Daphnia pulex: one gene and its partner. The protein of the gene in region 1 interacts with the protein of each later gene in a pairwise test. Links are inferred from orthologs where the notes say so. Each region holds a gene or a part of one and is shown on either strand. Other genes may lie near its edges. The genes, in order: EKC/KEOPS complex subunit TP53RK-like and EKC/KEOPS complex subunit Tprkb-like.

Region 1 (10,293 bases):
CTGATGTTCCTTGGTCACCTATAATTCTTACAAAGAAATATCAGACCGAAGTAAGAATTTTCACAAGAGTAAATAAACAATTTATAATTGCAAACCCTCCTTCTTTTGTTTCGCAGAATTGGAGATCCAAACTTACTACTCTAGTGAGAAATTGTTATAATTATAATGGATGTACATATTTGTTGCAATTTTCTGCAAAGTTGCAAACACTCACTGGAGGTTACAAGTTTGAAGACAATTGGGATGGAACAACTTCAATGTATGATAGCACAAATGGAAAGCTACTGGTTACTTTTCAGAATGAAAATATGGTGAGCTTTGTTAATGAATGGGACCGAGTGTTTGTGTTAACAACTTCGTTCTTTTTAGAATTATGACAAGGGTTTCAGACAGCAATCTAGTGCCTCTCGCCCTATGTTACTTCCCCGATTAAACTCTCCGACTAGTCCAACAAAGCTAAATGCTGGAGCCTCAAACACAATGGAAATAGAAGCTCCAACTGCAGCAAAAATGGTTGAACCACCAATTAATGACATCTATTTGTGTGATTATTGTGGTGCAGATTTCAGCTCACTTTCGGCCATTAAGGTACTCTATGCATTATGATTTGTCTCGGTAACTTATTCTTGAACATATTCTCAAATATTGAAGGCCCATGAAGCAAAATGTATGGCTGATAAAGCTTTGGAAGCCCAATCCAATAACATTAACACTTTCACTGAACTAGAAACACGGGACATGGATGAAGTAAACATTTTTATTTTACTATTAACTTTTGTTAGATATTTAAATTTTTTACCTTTCTGTCTCTTAGGCACAATTTCTGTGGTATTTGTCCTTGTCCAGTCGTAGTCAAACTTTACCACCGCCTAATGTTACTCCTGCTAAAATTCGTCCGGTTGTAAGAAGGACTTGTACACTCAGTGATAAGAGGTGAATCCTTAATATTTTATCTGATAACCTTTGATGAAGAAAATGCAACAATCATTATTTTATTACAGATTTACGACAATTCCCTTTTCGTCAAATCTTGGACAAAGCTTCTTCAAGGCAATTAGACTAACACCAACAGCTTCAGAACTCTTGATCAATCGATACGAGCGTTTTTGTATAGCAAAACCAATATTGCTCCGATCAGACCCTCTTACAGGAGAACACACGCAACCACCTATCCCATCAGCAACTACCTCTAATCGCTTTCGTCCAGTTGTGTTTAAAAGAAAAGACGAGTGGGCGCATTCTTACAGCTTCAATAAAGCAGACCGAAGAGAGCGCATGGAGACTATCGCGACGGGTAAACTACTTGAACTAATATTCCATGTGTTTGGTATTAACAATTAATTTTTATTGAAGGATTGAATAAACGCGCCCGTCAGTTACTTCAACGATGTCAAGGTATTCATGTGGTGATGGTTAGGTTAAAACCGGAAGAGATAGATATGTGGACTCGTCCGAAACCTAAACCAAAGCATCCGCCACATTTACTACAGCCGTGGCTACAGCGAAGCATTGCAAATTTACCTGCTAGTTGCACCATCAGCTTGGCTCCTGTTGATTCGCAAAAAACGTTTCTTCGAAACCAACAAGCTGCCTCACCATCATCAACAATTCGCCAAGTATCAAGAAACCATATTTCCGGGAAATCTCAAGCAAGAGCTCCACCAGGGCTTCTTCCTCTGATCACCGGCACTTGGTCTATGCAACCTGTGCAACCTGTCAAACCCAAGCCCACGAAAAACCAGTTCATATTGCCTGATCTGATTCCAGTTATTAACAGACATTCGAAGACGCGTTCCGTTGATCCAGTCATAATCCAAATGCCTTCCGTCTCCTCGCCAAGATCGGTTGCTGCCTCACCACGTACTCAAATGACTTCGAGCGGTAGTATTACAGATATAGTCGATCTTTGTTCTTCAGAAGACGAAGTCGACGATGGCGACCAGCGACAAGGCAGCAAAGATGTGCTGTCTAATTCTCTTGTCTTACCACCTGGTATCTCTATCACCAAAATTAAGAAAACGTCTAGTGGACCTCAGTGCCACCTTCCAAATTCACGGCCGAATGAAACGGCATCTGAAAAGAATAACAACCGATCACGAAGCGTTGCTCAGTGGCTGGCATCAGCAGCTACCGCGCCCCTACCAGTTTTGACCTTCATGGGCCACCACCAGCAAGCTATAAAAAAAGATCTTGCTAGGAGTGGTGCACTTGATGTTTGTTCAGCTGATTCGTCCCTACCCATTGTAACACCATTGAAACTAGCGAAGCTTCCTGCTGAGAAAAGGGAACAGATGAAGCAGTCTCTGTTGAAAATTCAAAAAAAGGAGAAAAAATCACCAACGTCAAACAGTGACTCTAGCAGTCCACCAACACAAATCAAGACGATTCAAACTACAAGCGATGTAACAGATCCACTTCAGCTCTCTCCATTGCCGAGAAGTTCCGTCAGCCCTAAAAAGGAATTTTCTCCACCCCTCAGTGACGAGTGCGAGGAACTGAAACACAAAGGATTAAGTGGCCTTCTTTTCTCAAACCAGCGGAATACTCGACGAAAAAGAGAAAAAGAACCCGATTTTCATAGTTCTGACGAAGAGGATTCACTATCTGATGGTCCTAGCAAAAAAGCTCGTTTATTGGATCAATCCTCGTCATCGAATTGTTTGGCACCTCAAGCGAAATTAATCCGTGGCAGCGAAAATTATTCTTCGGTTATCGAGGTTGATGTAGGAGGACCAGATAACGACATGTTTTCACGAGCAAGTTCGTTTGGATCACTAACTCCAGAGAGTAGACTTCCACGGAAAAGACAGGAATTATTTCGCTTGTTAAACGATGAATGCAAAGAATTAAGACGTAAAGGGCTGGAAGATTTATCTTTTGAAGCGAATTCCAATCATCGTGTCACTCGTTGTCGTACAAAATCCCAACCACTAATGTCCGGAAAACGGTAAAATCTCTTCCTTTTCTACTTTATTTTTGCCTTCCTCTACGACTTCGAGCAAATGCGTGCTCTTCTCCGGAAACGTTGTTTAGTATTCAACTTCTTTCGTAATTGTGCACCCAGAATCTATGCGTATATTTTACTCGCTTCTTGTCCTTCCTATCTTTTTCATTCGATGGCATTTCTAAATCGTTTCGAATGTCATTCATTCATATTATGTTCTCAACCTGGAAGATCACTGCTTTTGTTTTATGTACATAACGACGTTACATCGCCATCCGTTTAGCTGAAGGATTCGTACCTTATTGATTTGTTGTATAAAAGTATTCTAAATTTTCGATGCGATTTACGATGTTGATGTCTCGAAACCAACAAGCTTTGGTCGTTGTTGAGCAGAGGTACTATTGGTATCATTTTCTCCCCGTGTTTTGAACAAGTATTTTGAAAGTCGCGCAAACTCAGAAACCGAGACGTGTGATTGTAACGGTATTTTTAGTTTAAATCATAACCATTCTCTCCTTCTGGTTACTTGAAATAAATTCTTTCTTATTTCCAGTTAGGATATGATTGTTCTGTTCTGAAACCTTATAGATTTCACAATTCGGGTTTGCAAATTGGTTTTCGTTAAAAACACTGTAGCTCCCTAAATCCTTAATGTAATTTAATAACTCGTGTCTTTTGGGATCTTTGGTAAGTTAAAGATGTCATAATTCCACATTAATGTGTAAACAATGTATGAAGTTTCGAATTATCAGACGAATTCGATTATCTTGGCTGCTTCTGAAATCTGAATAAATTCTGTTAGTTAGACCAAACAAAATCGATGAAGATATTGAAAGATATTAATGATAAAATGAGCGGGTAGAGGGAGCAAAAAAAGGAATTGGTAAAATCCCTTGCTTTATCCTATTTTAACAAATTTGTGTGAAAAGAAGTGCGTATTATTTAATGGAAAAAATATTCATTGCCACCAGGTAGCGTGTCAACACCAGATGGCACTGACCGCAGTCGACAGACGGATTGCTTATCTATATGTATGTTCGACAAAAACATTAAAACGTAGTCTGCTACTGCTTGTAGGATCATGCATGGTTCGTGGTAACAGAGCAAGCAATTTGAATCTTGTGAAATGAATATGAAGGAGAGAAATTTCGCCTTGATTAAGCAGGGGTCCGAAGCCAAAATATATAGTGGCACTTTTCATGGAAAACCGTGCATTATCAAGGAAAGGTTTGTGAAGCGTTACAGACACCCACATCTTGACCGGGAAATTTCAACTCAAAGACTAAAAAGCGAAGTCCGCTCACTTGTTCGTTGTCGCCTAGCAGGTAATGTTTTAAAGAATTAACTATAGTTTTCTATTAAGTAATATCATAGTAATCATCACAACTAATTGTTTGATTAGGTGTCCATGCTCCAACTGTGTATTGTGTTAACGTGGAGCTAAATCATATAATGATGGAGCACATTACTGATGGTGTGACAGTTAAAGACTTCATTAAGGATCCTGTGAATCAAAATAGTCTTGAGACATTGGTTTCTACAATTGGAAGTACAATTGGTTTGTTGCATTCCCAGAACATCATCCATGGGGATTTAACTACTTCTAATATGCTGATTCGAGGTGGTGATATTTCTAAAATCACAGTAATTGATTTTGGTCTCAGCTTCATTGACCATTCTCCAGAAGATAAGGGAGTTGATCTGTATGTTCTTGAAAGAGCTATGCTAAGTACTCACCCTAACTCTGAAAATTTATTTGAAATAATTCTTAAGTATTATGCAAAGACAAATAAGAAAGATGGAAAAGAAACTCTAAAAAAACTTGATGAAATTCGTCTTCGTGGTAGAAAGCGTTCGATGGCTGGATAAACGACGAGATCTCGAAATAAAATGCCACAGGATCAGAATTAATGTTTTGTATTTGTTACTTATTATAATAAATCTCTGCATTAATTTGATAAATTTTGAGCCCAAATTGTGTCATCACATTCTATATTTTACAGCCTAGACTGAGCTCCACCAGCAGCAACAATATTTTCTCCAGTTATAAAGGAAGCATCATCTGAGCATAAAAACGAAGCCAATCCACCCATGTCGTCTGGTTGTCCAATCCTGAATTTTGTTAACTCTTGTAAATGAATTGAATATAGCTAAAAATGTACAGGCAAAATATCGTACCTTTGCAGGGGTATGCCTTCCAGGACTTTGTTGCGCACATCGTCATTGTCTACCAACTATCGGGAAAAAATGTAAATAGTTAGCTATAACACCGCTTTCGTAAGGAATTATTTAATGTGGTAATGATACCATTGCGCTGAATTTTGTTTGGATTACGCCAGGAGCAATGCAATTCACGCGAATGCCACTATGTCCTACTTCTTGGGCCAGCACCTTTGTTAATCCCAGTAGAGCTGTTTTACTTACAGAGTAAGCTCCTAGAGCCTTTGAAGGTAAGATATCACAAATAAATTTTGGTATTAGTAAAAATCCAATCAATGATAATAAGATATGCTGTTTACAGAAAATGGTTGAAACCCAGCAATTGAAGAAATAAATATTATAGAACCTCTCCCTCTCTTTTCCATATGTGGAACAGCAGATTTGGCAAGTAAAAATGCTGTTTTGACATTAATATCAAAAATTTTATCCCAGGCATCTTCAGGGCACTGTTTAAAAAGAGTAATTAAGTTTATACTTAGTTGCTAAGTTGTGTATAAACCTGATTTAACTTACACTCAATACTGGTCCAAATACAGGATTTACTGCAGCATTACTTATCAAAATATCCAATCCTCCAAACTTAGAAACAGTCTGTATAAATAGGAAAATAATTACATAAATGAATGAAATGTGATAACAACTTTTAACTTATTTCAAAGTACATCTTCTATCAGTTTTTCCCTATCTTCTTTCAATCCAACATGGCAAACCATGCCAGTAACAGTTAGTCCTTCTGTTTTAAGTTTTGCTACAGCAGCATCAACATTTTTCTGTTTTCTACTGCTTACAACAACTTGTGCTCCGTCTGAAGCTAGTCGCTTGGCGACAGCAAACCCAATTCTAAAAACAAAAATGGTAATTCAGATTAACGCTGATAAAAGGTTATAGATGTTATTGTTATTATACTCACCCATCCGTTGACGCAGTAACAATTGCAATTCTTCCATCTAATTTTTTGGCGGTCGAACTCATTTTCAATGTCGTCGTAGTAAAAAGAAAGCGTCTAGTTAGCAGGCCAGCACTTTTCAGTATCATAACGATAACAACAGATATAGCAATATATATATAGCAATATCTTCTCAATCAGCCAAAACAAGTGTATGGACTTTTATCCGAATGACAACACTGACAAGAGCTGTCAATTTCAAGTGGGAGGAGCTTACGAAATTTTACATTCAGTAGCCAATCATGAATGCTAGTACTTGGCTTATTTATCACACCTGAAAATTAAAATGTCGACAGGAACTAGTTTTATACTGATAGTTTTGTATATTGGCTAATTAATCTCATTAGAGTTTTCAAGAAAAAGAAGTTAATTTTACAATGAATTTTAAATTCAGTTAACCAAAACTATACAAAAGGAATCGTTTATGTTCTTTCCTGTCACGAATCAAAACAATTTCACAGCAAGCATCAAAACTAAAAAGCATCATCATGAGTGTAATCTGCAACAGTTGACTGAAGTCCTAGTTCTTTAAGTCTCTTCAATCTAATTTTCTCCTTTGCTTGCTTCTCATCTTGCTCCAACCTTTGGGCTTCAAGGATCTCCTCTACACCAACTTGCTTAAGGGGGATTCTTTCTTCTTTCTCCAAATCCTGAATTCAGAAAAGGGACTGTTATAATGTCTGCAATCACAATCTGTCAAAATTTAACATTACGATTTCTCCCAAAAGAGCAACATTTTCTCCTCTGACAATAAATACTCCTCGTGGAATGTCACCATACTCTTTACCAACATGAATCCTCTCAATAGTTCGATGCAAAACCAAGTTAGCAAATTGATCAACACTACGGAGGTATCCTATCAAAGTTCGGCCATCACGTAGAACGACTATAACCTTTTCTAAAAATAATCAAGCATTAGTTCATGACATCTACATGGTTCAATTCAGAAAAATTTACTGTCTAAATCTTCAAGAAGAGTCGCCGTCCCCGGTAATGAAGCGACATTCATTTTCGAAATTTCATCAGCCTATAAAACAAAACTCGTGCTTTTAGTGCAGTTGGGTCAAGAGTGCATGCGTACGCGTTTCTCAAATCGTCTGCAATCGTCTACGAATTTTAAATTGTAGATGTAGAAGCCTTGAAAATTGAGTCATGCAGCCAGTGACCCCTAGGCCAACGTTGAATTGATTGCGTTTCCATGATATTATTCGAATTCCTTTTTTTAAATATTAATCGACCTTTTAAAATCCCGGAAGTAAATTCTTTTCAATATTTTTTAAAAGAACCAAAGAAAGAACGTTTAATTTGCAAGAGCGTGAAGTAGGGATGTTGTTTAGCACTCATGTTTACACATTTCTGATAGTTTCGTCTGCAGGTAAATTTGAAACGATAGAGACGAAATCACGAAAGTTGCAAAGTTCACTGAAGAAAAATGATTTAGTCTACAATATATGTGCAATTTTTGCATGCTATATTTTAAAAAAGAAAAGTATTCAAATCTAAAATGAAAAAAAGAAATTTGCTTGTTTTTTCCTGGCTCATTTTGTTGTATGCAAATGGGGTGATGTACTTTCTTCAAGGGTTTTTGTTAACTCGCCGAGAAATTCATCTAAAGTCCGCAGCGTTTGACGGTGTTTCTTGTTGTTTGGAATCAAAATACGAGAAAATCATCATTCTTATCATTGATGCTCTTCGCTATGACTTTCTTGTTTACAACAATTCCACAAACAAGAGTAGTATACCAATCTACCAAAATAATCTTCCTGTTGTGGAAAAGTTATTGAAGGATAATCATGGTGTGCTGTATCAGGTATGTTTACAAAATAAGCATTAGGGGATAGATGAATGAGTTCTAATCTAATTTTGTGTACAGTTTGTTGCAGATCCTCCCACTTCTACAATGCAACGTTTAAAGGGCATTACCACTGGATCTTTACCTACTTTTATTGATGTTGGGAGCAATTTTGCAAGTGATGAGCTCAAAGAAGACAATATCCTCAGTCAGATTACTTCGTCAGGATTAAATATTACATTTATGGGTGACGACACTTGGTTGCAGTTGTTCCCAAGGTCTTTTCAACGTGCATTTCCTTTCCCATCCTTTGACGTGTGGGACATTCATACTGTTGACCGAGGAGTGGAACAACACTTGGTGCCAGAAATGATGAAACCCGATTGGAATTTACTGATTGCCCACTGTCTAGGAGTTGACCACACTGGTCACCGTTACGGTCCAGAGCATCCTGTCATGCCCCTCAAGTTAAAGGAGATGAACTCTTTAATCGAAAAAATCGTAAGCAACATGAATCCTCAAACACTACTCCTAGTCATGGGTGACCACGGAATGACACGAAGCGGTGATCACGGTGGTGACAGTCCAGATGAAGTCAACGCCGGTTTTTTTGCATACAGCCCAGGATGGAATATCAAATTCAACACCTCCAGGAAAACATCAATCAACCAAGTGGATCTTGTACCAACCCTGTCAGTACTGCTGGGCATACCAATTCCGTATTCAAATTTAGGTTCTGTAATATTAGACCTTGTTTTTCCCGAGCAGCTGTGGAGAGAAACTCACCCCAGTGAAGAGCACATTATGAAAATAGCACAGTCATATTTCTCCGAAGCTCTTTATTTGAATACCAAGCAAATCTGGCGTTATTTGGAAACCTATAGCCGTGATTCGTCATTTCCGAAGAAAGAATTCGAACATCTCAGCAGTCAGTTTGACCGTGCTGTCCATCTTTTCGAACGGTTACAAATGAAACAGTGTTCCAATTCGTGTACCTCCGATTCAAGTTGTTGCGCTCCGGACGAAAAACTCGAAGAATTCATTCAAGCAGCGCAGATTTTCCTCACTGAAGCTAAAGAAATATGCCGTTCCATGTGGGCTCGTTTCGATCTAACGTCCATTTCCATTGGATTGACAATTTTTACTTGCTCACTGTTTCTACATGCGAATTTTCTCATCGAATCCGAATTGAATTGGATGAAACCTGTCAAATATTTCGGTATCATTGGAGCCTTCCTCTCCATCTTAGTGCACAGTTGGTCTTCTGTGTTGACTCTTGGATTAAGTTTAACACCAGTGTTCGTTTATTTGGTTGGGACTATGCGGAAGATTCGACTTCAGCAGTTGTTTAAATTTGCTTATCTCGCCCCATTTGTCATGGCTGCTTCCTACACTTCAAACAGTTTCGTTGTTGAAGAACCCTACGTCGTTCACTACCTGGCACAATCATTCATCTGGATTCCGATGTTCTTCAGACGCCAAACGAAAAATCGTCAGTGGATACTTCGGATTGCATTGAGTTTGACAACTCGATTAGGATTGGCTTTTTTTCGCTGCCGTGAAGAACAGTTTCCTACTTGTGAAGCCCACAGCCTTCACAGGAGCCTCAATAGTCTTTCTGGAACTAACTGGATAGTCTTTGCAAGAGTGTCTACAGCTTTAGTGTCCTGCATTGCTTTTTATCTACTCTACAAACGATACCTTCCGTTTGACCGCAAAAACCTATTTATCGTCATGATCGTCTGGTGCTATTGGATTTTACAAAGTGCGTGTTTTCTGACCGACAGTGACACAATTGGACTCGTGTACCTTCCAAGATTGTTCTACATTGTGTTTATCGTAAAACTTTGCCATGATATTTATACGTTTTTATTCGATAATGAACTGGGTAAGATGTCAAACTATCGCAAAAAGATATCTCATCTGGTCATTCTACTGTCAACGCTGGCCATTTTGTTAGCTGGTGATGGCCTGGCCCCAGGTATTATTCTGGCACTGGCCAATCTTGTACTATTCTCTCAACTCTTCACCGGAGAAAGTAATTGCGGAGAGATGTGGCCTCTTTATGGACTTTTGTCATTGCATGGTTTCTTTGCTGGTGGACATCATACTAGCCTCGCTAACATTCCATGGTAAAAATATTATATAATATCAATTATAGTAACTTTTTCCACCTATTTAATTATTTTTTGGGTTAAAGGGAAACTGCTTTTGTGGGTTTATCCCACTCCGATAGCCAAAGTGAATGGGCTAACGTGCTGCCAGTTTTGTTTGTCAGTTATAGCACGGCGTTTTCTATGCTCCTACACGCCATGTCCGTCCCGATCGTGTCACTTTCGAACGTGACACGAAAGAACAAAGACTCGCAAATGTTATTAGTTAATGGCTGGC
Region 2 (10,498 bases), on another chromosome or scaffold:
GCGCGATATGCAGAGATTTCTATTTGTTCCTTTTCGAAAACTCATAGAGGGTTTGAGATATCGAGTTGAAACTTTTTATTGTAATTATTGTTGCTTGTAATGGTTGTTTAGGAAGCTTTAAAACTTAAATTTAGTCAAATTAGTTCAATTAAGTTTAAGAAAAGTGTCGTTTTCCATGGTAGCGCAAATGGCCGAGCTAGCGGCGGGCGTCAGTTATACGAAAATTGGACTACAATATTATATTAACAAAGCATAAAATGAAATCCCGCATATATTTTTTTTCCCGCTATTGTGTAGGGGAAAATGAGCCTTGTAGTCTTAACATGAATAACCAAGAATGTGGCCCAGGTCTTACTTGTGCAGCCGCGTCTAAGAATTCGAAATCGGACTACATATGTGTAAAAAGTTAGTAAAAATGTTGGCTTCGAAATAAGATCACTGTGTGCTTTCAGTAATGAATTACCCAAATTTTGAATTTAGTGAACACGAAATGCTTCGAAGCTCAAGATGAATATGAAGTTCGGAAATTAAGTGGTTCACTAGGAATGTATGAGACACGTCCCAGATGTGACGACAATGGTGACTTTATTGCAAGAAAGTGCCAACCAGGTGGCAGGTACAGTACCGTGTCCAAATTCTGTTTATTAATTATTATTTTTTTTTTTTAAAATTTGAATTGCAATTTTTACAGCTGTTATTGTGTCGATATCAACAACAATCGGATTTTTGGGGAATCCCCGCCTAGTTATGCTGCAACTGACGCAGCCATGAATTGTGGTATGTGTCCATCCCAAAAAAACGAAACAAAAAATAACTAAATAAATAATAAATTCCGATGAAACTTTTAGAATGTTCCAGAGCTTATCAACTGGCACTGGCGGGTTCGCTACAATCGGTACAGTTTCCTCACTGCCTACCAAATGGCAACTATGATACACTGCAGTGTGTAAATCAAGCCTGTTTTTGCATCAGTTCTACCAACCAAACCCTCACTTCTTCTATCCAACCCATTACTGCAATTACGGAGTTACCGTGCTGTAATTGTTTCATCTTCAAGAAATACTTTTTGCGATTTGTACTCGCGAATTTACCTATGCTCATCTCTATTCTGAACAGATAACACTGACGTGCATTCAGCTGATTACTACCGGCCTTGCGAAATGAAAAGGTTAAAGACTAAATTTTTTGGGAATAGTTACATCCGCCAGAATATCACAGTACTTGGACTGGAACAACCGGATTGTTCGCCAGATGGATTCTACCAATCGATTCTTGAGACAGAATCCACGTATGTATTGCCAAACCTCTTCTTTTCTCTTCGGCTTACTTGAAAAGACAAAAGAGTGGCCACCAGACCAGTAACTCGGTTTATTACTTTCTGAATTTTATTTTCATGAAACCACGAGTATTTTCGTAACAAAACGCATGAGAAAATTTGTTAACTTTTGCGAGATGTGTTCGTCGAATCTTTAGACTGGCAATGAACGTGAAATTAGTCAAATTTAATTTCTTAATCACAACGAATTTTGAATTTCAGACTTTACTGTGCAGATCCTTATGGGGAAAAAATTGAAAATTTCGAAATCAACAAACCGGATGACAGTTCTATGAATTGCAGTATGTTAATTTAAAAGATGCAAGATATACTACACAAAAAACAATGTTATTTTTTTGCAATAGAATGTGCGCGAACAAGATTTTGGCTTACCAATCAAAAATTAGCCAAACCAATCTGTTGCAGCAACGGGAACTATCGACCAATCCAATGCCGAGGGGGGGTTTGTTTTTGTGTAGATGATGACGGAAATCAGACTGGCCTAGAAGTTCAAGAGAATAACTTAACTGAGTTACAGTGCTATCAGTTAAAGCAATATCCTGATTGCTGATTAATCTTTTAACAACAAGACAACATTTAGATATTTTATGTTAGCCCGAAAATAGCACTTCAAGTTTCTGCGTAAATTTAACGCTTGTAACATTTTCCCCTGTTATGGAATACACCGTCTTCTGGAATGGTAAAAGTTTAAATAAATAACGCTATGATTAAAGAAAATAAATAATAACAATCAATAACAATAGCACAATGAAATTGCAACTATATAGAAGAAATTTCGGCAGCGATTTCAACAAAATTTCAAAGATTTTATCATTTTAATAGTAATAACGTAAAAATGGATGTGCAGTCTTACTGACTTAGAGGGTTTAGTTATCAAAGGTTTGTATAGGCCTATAGGAATCAAGAAATTCATTTTTGCGCTTTACGTATGCTCCGATAATATCCATTCTCGATTGTCGCAGAATATTAATGCTGTCAATTTTCTACAAACTATTCATATTATTAATTCAAATTAGGGGTTGAAATCATAAGTTCATTACTCATTTTTTCATTTATACAGTAAAACTTTGCATTTATTTCTGCACAACTCAATTGCAAATGATATTAATTCAATTAAATTTTACCGCTTAAGAAAATGTTTGTAGACTGATCTCAACGATAAGAGAACAGGAATGCCTATGGGAAGAAAAAGTGGGATGTAAATCGCATACCTGGAACACAACAATAAAACGATGTTAAAACGAGTTGAACAACAAAAATACATTTTAAAGTTAGAAGACAAAAAGAAGATAAATGAAAGTTTTAAGTGCACCTAAATCACTTACTTTTGGTCTTCAGGAAAGTATAACAATGCCAAAAGAGAGGGATCGAAGAAAGCCTTTTCGGCACATGAATTAGATACTTTGGCATCTCGGTACGCTTGTTGCAAATCGTCATTTTTCAAAGCAATTCTGGAATCGTCCCCCATCTTTACGGAAGCAACAATCAAATCTCTTATTTCTTCACTAACAACGATGTTTCCGATCTGTTTTAATAGTTGTGATAGAGACTAAAGCGATTGAAAAAAAAAATAAAATAATTGTTACATGCTTCATCGAATGTATAGTATTTTAAATTTTTAATTCACGTTTACCTTTAGAGTAATGGTAGCTTGATTTAAAAATTGTACCGTACGTCGCCGTGTCAACAAATACAGCTCCCACGCGTGAACACCAGATTCATCATAATTCAAGGAGATGTAAGAAGTATCTGCATTCTTTATTATGCAATAGTAATTGCAAGTAAACATTAGCTCAAAAACAGGATCAAATAGGAATATTATCATTTCAAATTTATATTCACCTGTAGAGAGAAAATTCCGAGAGCATTTCTTAACTGGCATAGAGCAAGTCCAGCAAAGGAATGATCTAATTCATTGACAATTTGTAAACCTCCTCCATTCCACCGTGGACTAAGGACTGAATTGGTCACAACTGGCAAGGATCCTTTGAAAATATACATTGGTGACTGATTTATGTGGGGAACATAAAGCACCCAATGAAAAGTGGGATCCGACGACAACTGACTTCCTATTTATCCACGAAATTCCATTTAAACTCTATTTTCTTTTAGTATCTTAAGGCTTCGTTCATATACCTAGTCGCGGTTCGAGAATATTAATAAGAGATACCACTTTTTCTTCATTTAAAGAGAAAATTTTTTGTTCAGTATCATGATTGGCATCAATATGGCCGTTTCCAAGATAAATCATTTGGGATGAAATTGAAAGGTCAGCAACGTGCCGAAATTTTTTAGAAAATGCAGCAAAATTTTCTAACAAAAAAAAGGGAAAATGCAATTTTATGTACGCCTAAAGCTGTGAAATTTTTTAAAAATTCTTACCATCATATAAAGATACTATACTAGAATATTCTTGGGTTGCATTTGCGGTCGCCAAAGTAAGAAGAACATTATAATGATTAGAAATGGGAAGGTGCGCATCGGAATTTCGGTCTGAATCGTGAAGTGCCAAAATTGAACGTATAATGTGGCCAAGGGAATCAAAATCTAACAAAAAAAAAGGAAAAATTTATCAATTTAAAAATTTTGATTTATAAGTGAATGAAATCTTTTAATTCCACACCTGTTTCTTCCGAGAAGTACAGAAAGTTATGCCTTCCTACACACACTTTCCCAGATGGCAAATAATTAGATGGTACTTCAACAATTGATAATATGTTAATAAACTCTGATTCAGATAGTTCCTCAAAGTACATGTCTATGGCATCAACTGACTTTTGTGACAACAAAATTTTTACTTCTTCAGGGCTGAATTTATATGGAACAATACTGAAGTTATAAGTTACTAAAAAAATTTTGAAAATTGTTAACATAATCTTCAAATCTAAACATTTATTATATTGTTTTAGTTACTTACATGGGTCCTTGGACTGAACTAGTGCACTTTGCAGTTTCTTTGCCATTATTTCAGCATCATTGATGCCTTTTAATAAAATAGGGATACTTTGTTCACTCCCAGACACTTTAGCCATAGTGGACAGTTCTTCCAGTGGTAAAGATGCTCTTTGTACAGTAGTGGTATTCCACCATACTGGTACTCCAAGACCCAAAAGTATCACAATGAAGGTTAATGCAGCTCCAATTGGATGAGAATGCCTATCTAAACAGTTATTTTCATTAGTTTGAATCATAAGTAAATCAAGAGTAAATTAATTTTGACATTTACCTTGCCTATCTAGAGAGCTGTTATTGGAGCCCTTCATTTTTAAAAAAGGTGGAAATATTTATACCTAAACCAAAAAAGAAAATTGTATCAAGAATTTTTCAAATCACTTTTCAATAAATAAATAAGAAAGGACCACCATCAAACGTACAGGTTCTTAAATTTGTTGTTTAGTGTTTACTGTAGTCGATGTAGTGTCTACTGAAATGAAGATTTGAAGTCGCATTTTAGTCTGCAAATAATTGCCATGACAACGTCTTGCAGTGTTACAGCCAGGTTACATACAGCCGGTTGAAGCAGACAGACTATAAACTGTGGGAACCAGCAGCAGTCAGAACACGTTTTGAAATAAAAAAATTTACCGATTCGTGACTCCCATATTTAGTCGTTATTTAGTCATATTTGAGCAAACAATAATAAAATGTGGGCATTTAAAGAATGCGAGCCCAAGTTGTTACTTTTTAAAAATGTAACCAATGCAAGTGAAATTCGAGAAAGGATTATGAAAGCTAGCTTTCCTTGCGCTGCAATTAATCCTAGATATGTATGCATTTCAATTTTCAATTTTATGTTTGACGAAGAATATAAATTTATGACTGCTAGGTATTGGACACCTTTCAAGTATTAGTGGCCACCCAACTTGCTGTGATGAGCCATCAAAGTCATACCCTTAAAACACATTCTGTGTTTTCTGAAATTGTTTATAACATGTCCCCAACAAAAAAGGTATTTTTTTAATGTGCAGTTGTACAGCATGCAAACTTTATTAAATATGGAAATTATTTTTAATGCTTGGAACAGATTACAGATTCCTTAAAAATATTTGGAATGAATGATAAAGATACATATTTTCTTTGTGTGGTACTTAATGAAGAAGATATGGAACTTGTCTGTTCTAAAGTCAAAGGAGAATTGGCAGAACCCACCCAAGACAATTTTGAAACATGTGATGAAAATGAGCTGAGGAAAATTTATAAAATCAAAGAAGAAGAAACAAAAATTGTTTCTTTATTGGATGCTATAATTAACCGAATTTCGACAAAAGAAATTGCTACATAGTACTAATATTTTTTGTGTAAAACTAGATTTAGAAGCAGGATCAATTATGTATTATTCATTCATATTTGATTGTACATTTTACGATTTTCACATCATCAGTTGGTCTGTCATCTTTATCTGTTTCTACAAACCCAATCCTTTTCACAACAGACATGCCTGAATAAATTCTCCCAAAAATGGAATGCTTGCCATCTAGCCATTGGGTTGGAGCTAAAATAAATATAAAATAAATTTGCATTTGATGTAGGAATTCAAAGTTTATTAATTTTTTTTTTTAAATACCTAGTGTTATGAAAAATTGAGATCCATTGGTATTTGGTCCTGAATTCGCCATGGACAGTATACCAGGGCCTATTGTTAAACACACACAAAGTTAAAAGTCATTTCCTTTGAATGTGTGTCATTCAGGCCCCTGAATGTTGTTTCCATTACTTATTTTATTTGTAATTATTACCTGTGTGTTTCAGTTCATCATGTAATTCATCAGAAAAATTACGTCCATATATAGATGCTCCTCCTCTTCCAGTACCAGTGGGATCACCACCTATAAATTTTTTAACTTAATTCATAATCAATGAAAAAAAAGTTTTCAATTAATTACCTTGGATCATAAAATCTCGGATTATCCGATGAAATTTAGTGCCTGCATAGTAATTTCGACGACAGAGTTCAGCAAAGTTTCTACAAGTGTTGGGGGCATGGTTCCAGTACAATTCTATAGCAATTTCTCCCATCCTACAAGGTCAGATATTAGAGATGGTAACCAAACAAGCAGATTTTATATTAAAATATACATACAAACATCTTATCTTTCACAGTGGTATTCATAAAAAAATAATAAGTATAGCCTACGTGGTTTGAAGTACTGCAAAAGGTGGCTGCCAAGAAGCATCGGGGATGGAAGCCATACTTGGGATGACAAATATTTATGTAGTAAACAAACCGTTTAAATTTTTTGAAAGGAAATATATTAAGAAAAACAATTTTGGATCAGAACGTCAAACGTGTGGACAAAATCACAAAAACTCAAAAAAGAAGCCGGGAAGCAGTCGACGCATTGTCTTGTTCGTTGAAGCAGCATGTCATGATTTCCAGTTATATATTTACGGGTAACACGACGCCTGCTGCAGGCACCATGCTGCAGGCCGCAGCACAAAATGATAATTTCAGTCAGCACAGCAATTAAAAATTCACTTAATAAAAAAAAAATAATAATAAATACCAAAACAATTATAAATACGAATAAATAAATAGATCTAAAAAAAAAAAATCGTGATCTCCGCAGCAGCATTCAGAAGAACATCCATAAGTTTGTTGGTAAAAATTGAAGTTACCAAAATTCAAATCCTTTCGAAAACAATCAATGACTATTACTAGAGGTTTTAGGACTCAGAAAATTGTTCATAAATATTATATACAAATTCAATACTTGTAGAAGTTTGCTGACCAAAATCTTTCTAACTGAATTGTACATTTCATTTATGATTGGAATTAACTTGAAAAACCACTAGAAACTGGCATATTACATGACATACAGCATGTGTATTATTTCTTTTAACACAGCGTACAACAGACTTTTAAAGAAAGAATCTGCGCCTGCTCGTCTCCATTTCGTGCCGTTTCCCAGCGATGATCCATTCATAGTCACCCTCAATTGTGTCGAAAGTTCCTTTTTGCAACCATTTCAGTCGCAATGTAAATCGAGGGCCCAATTCACGTAAGGCAGCTCTCTTCTGAGATTTGAATTCATACCTATCATTACAAAGGTAGTAATTATTATTTTGTTATTATTAAGAGTCTAAGCTTTCCCAACCGGTGGTGCCTGAAAAATATGTAGTCTCGCTGGTTGTGGAAAGTCACCGCACGACGACCTTTAAATTGGGGATCGTAGTGAAACAAAGAAGCTAACATTCGACTCACTGCTTGACCAAGGCGTGTCTGGAAATTGTTAAGAATGACTTCGGGACGATGAGTGGTAAACTCCTTGATAATGTTCTTGTACTTTTAGGAAAGATAATAAATATGAGTAATATTAGATTGCAAAAATATTATATAAATATATAAATTACCTTCATATCCTTTGTTAATTTGACATTGCTTATTTTGAAATAAGCAGTTGGGCCATCAGGTAAGTGTGATACCAACATTCCATCTATTTAGCATAATTTAAATATAAACTAAACTTTATTAACATTGAAAAGAACTTACTTGGAACTCGTCTATCTTCATTTATCACTACAACATCTGTGTAATCTTTTTCCTTAGCACTCTCTATCATTTTTTTCACACTGGAACGCTTTCTCCATTGACATTCAGATTTTGGGAAAATCTTTGTTAATTCACGGATAAAATGAATAGTTTTCTAAAAACATCAAATAATGAACCAGTTCATCAATCTATTAACATAAATCTTAAAGTTAATTTTTAAATGAAATTTACTTACTGAGTGAGGGTTGTCTGATGATGTTATCAAAATCTTGGGCTCATAGGTTTTTGAAAAATATGCTTCATATTCATCATGGGTGATGTCAAATGTAACTTCTTCATCTTCTTGATCAACAGTTGTCACATCAGCTTCCCTAGTATTTTCAATTGTACGTGGAACCTGTTTAGGAGGAGCCTTATCTCCTAAAGCTTCAGCTTCCTTTTTTCGCTGCTTTTGACCTTCTTTTTTAATCTGTTTAAGAACTCATTGTAGTTTAAATAAAATATTCTTGACATGCTGTAAAAAGATTTCACCTTTCGTTTTTCTTTTTTCAAAGTAGCCCACTGAGCATTCCGTAACACCTTGTTTTTCATCGTTGACAGTCTCCTCTGAGTACGAAAACGTTTTTTTGCTGCAAGGCGTTCACTCGCTGTTAAGATTTTCGGCTTCGCTAGAACCTCTCCAGCTTCATTTTCCTCGGCGTTCTCCATGGCAGATTTTTTTTTAAATATTGAACAAAATCACGCTGCTTAATAGGAAGTGAGGAGGAACTCTATACAACAGTTTCAGCCTTTCAGGTCGTGAACACGTGCCAGACAGCCTCGGAAAAATTAAACTGTTTAACAGACGACACAACTCGCGAATAGTACGGCCCACAGCGGGCCCTTTCGGAAACCATGAACCTATAAAATTTTTACATTTGATGAAAACATTACTCGCACAGTACTACAAAAATATTTTTAATTTAACACTCGTGTGTAGCTACATATTATTTTTTTAACACTTAATACTTTTAACAAGCGATTCGCCACTCAAAGAGACCGTTTTGGGGGTATTTAATTTTGCGGAAATCATCGCTAGGGGTTGTAAAAATAAACAAATTAATAGGTTTAGTTCAAAATTTTTTTCTAAGTCGATTGGTGAAAACCACAATCCCTTAGCTATAGTCGTTTTTGAGATATTAGCAAAAAACTGTGGGGGGTAGCCGAAAATTGGACTTTTTTCGGTTTTTGTGCTGCAGTTTTCTCGTCAACTGCTGCACCTAAAAATATTCTGATCATTTAAAAATGATGGGATAGCCCACCTCTTCACAAAATTTTCATGTTTTTTCGATACTCGGCTCAGAAGCCGAGATATTAACGTTTGAAATTTTTGAAATTCCTACAAATTTCTTGGTTTTTGGGTCATTTTGGGCTTTATCCTATAAGCCACCTAGCGCTCGCGAAAACAACATTTTCCCCTCTTTGCCTTTAGGGTCTGTTGGGGTGGCCAACCGCCAACCCTCTCGATTGGCGTAGGCTCTGACGTTCTGAGGGAGAACACAAATGCACCAGGAACATCGCTCCTCCTCATTTGTCCGTTGTTTACGGAAAGGACTTCTCGTTAAAGTTTTATCTTCCGCCCAGTTGCCGCTTACCATGTCGGTATAACGTGTGCTGCTGGGTGTACAGGATTCAACGTCCTAATTGATTGGATTTATAGGGTGTAGTGGAGTCAAGATAATTTTTAACCGTGAACAATCTGCAACATCAGAAAGGAAAAAAAATTTCCCGATTTTCCCTTCATATTTCCCAATTTTCCCAAATTTTCGCAACTTTCCAAATTTTCAAAAATTTTCAAAATGTTCAAAAATTTCAAAATTTTTCCAATTTTGTCTATTTTCCTCGATTTCCACTATTTCCAGTAAAATTCTATTTACAAAATTTGTTTCCGAAAAATAGCTTCCGATTCTAAATAATCCGAGACAAAAAATTGAGAAGCATCACAATATTTTTATACGACGGGATGATTGGAGGAGGGTAGACTGAAAAACTAAGTATTGCAAGGGTGGAAATCGTGAACAATAACAGCTAGTTTTTTTTCCGTTTGTTGAGATTTTCTTCGATTTATCTGTTTGCCCATTAAATCGGTACCAAGTACAAATTACTGAAATGTCCTCGTTAACTTTTTTGTCATTTCCTCTTTGCCACTCTAATTGTGTTTTTTATTACTCTGCGACAGAAATTGAAATTGAATAACGCGGCTTAATAGGAATAAATAATCGCGCTTTGAACCTGAAAGAGTCTGAAAAAGACACCAACCCGCACGATTTCCCTTTCTTCTACTGTTTTCACTATCAGTTTTGTAGCATCAGGGAACGAAAAAAGCTGGCACACTTTCAAGTTACGATCACTGCTCATCTTCTTCATTTGTGTTTCCAAAAACCAGCAGAGCGTTTTAATTTGAACAAGTCGCATCAACGCTAAGGTCATTCATTTTCTTTAAGGCGATAGGGATGCACTTTTTATCTCTATGGTGAATTCATCATCCTATGGCAGCACGATAACTTCAAGTGCATTTAATGAACCCCTGCTCCGATGCCTGTTCTCATCGACGCGCCGATAAATTATTACGTCTTTTGATAATTTCTGTTGTAGCAGGAGATTAGCAATTTTGCATAACATTTTCTAGCTTG

What was found.
Region 2: the proteins of EKC/KEOPS complex subunit TP53RK-like (region 1) and EKC/KEOPS complex subunit Tprkb-like interact in binary tests that used the Homo sapiens proteins (3 or more experiments, as listed by UniProt). The link is inferred for Daphnia pulex from reciprocal best matches to the Homo sapiens genes TP53RK and TPRKB.

Annotation. Positions count from the first base shown.
Region 1 is NC_060017.1:7,079,087-7,089,379, forward strand, and holds EKC/KEOPS complex subunit TP53RK-like, read left to right. Parts: upstream 1-3,947; 5' UTR 3,948-4,070; coding exon 4,071-4,269; intron 4,270-4,346; coding exon 4,347-4,813; 3' UTR 4,814-4,855; downstream 4,856-10,293. Other genes in the region: uncharacterized protein LOC124196883, read left to right, coding at 1-50, 117-311, 370-588, 652-747, 815-933, 1,002-1,294, 1,354-2,951; dehydrogenase/reductase SDR family member 4-like, read right to left, coding at 4,942-5,056, 5,123-5,178, 5,252-5,386, 5,464-5,610, 5,678-5,755, 5,827-6,004, 6,075-6,199; U6 snRNA-associated Sm-like protein LSm1, read right to left, coding at 6,584-6,760, 6,824-7,008, 7,068-7,119; GPI ethanolamine phosphate transferase 3-like, read left to right, coding at 7,615-7,920, 7,984-10,034, 10,103-10,293.
Region 2 is NC_060026.1:5,613,169-5,623,666, forward strand, and holds EKC/KEOPS complex subunit Tprkb-like, read left to right. Parts: upstream 1-4,843; 5' UTR 4,844-4,980; coding exon 4,981-5,103; intron 5,104-5,162; coding exon 5,163-5,285; intron 5,286-5,360; coding exon 5,361-5,618; 3' UTR 5,619-5,673; coding exon of another isoform or gene 5,674-5,828; 3' UTR 5,829-5,865; downstream 5,866-10,498. Other genes in the region: uncharacterized protein LOC124205085, read left to right, coding at 298-405, 481-616, 692-777, 849-1,037, 1,117-1,288, 1,538-1,617, 1,681-1,886; GPI transamidase component PIG-S-like, read right to left, coding at 2,457-2,547, 2,662-2,885, 2,970-3,092, 3,179-3,405, 3,473-3,649, 3,719-3,883, 3,960-4,181, 4,254-4,496 and 1 more; peptidyl-prolyl cis-trans isomerase-like 1, read right to left, coding at 5,674-5,828, 5,901-5,969, 6,073-6,162, 6,220-6,353, 6,471-6,526; ribosome production factor 1-like, read right to left, coding at 7,196-7,370, 7,432-7,619, 7,688-7,770, 7,827-7,980, 8,062-8,295, 8,358-8,534. UniProt on the Homo sapiens protein: Component of the EKC/KEOPS complex that is required for the formation of a threonylcarbamoyl group on adenosine at position 37 (t(6)A37) in tRNAs that read codons beginning with adenine.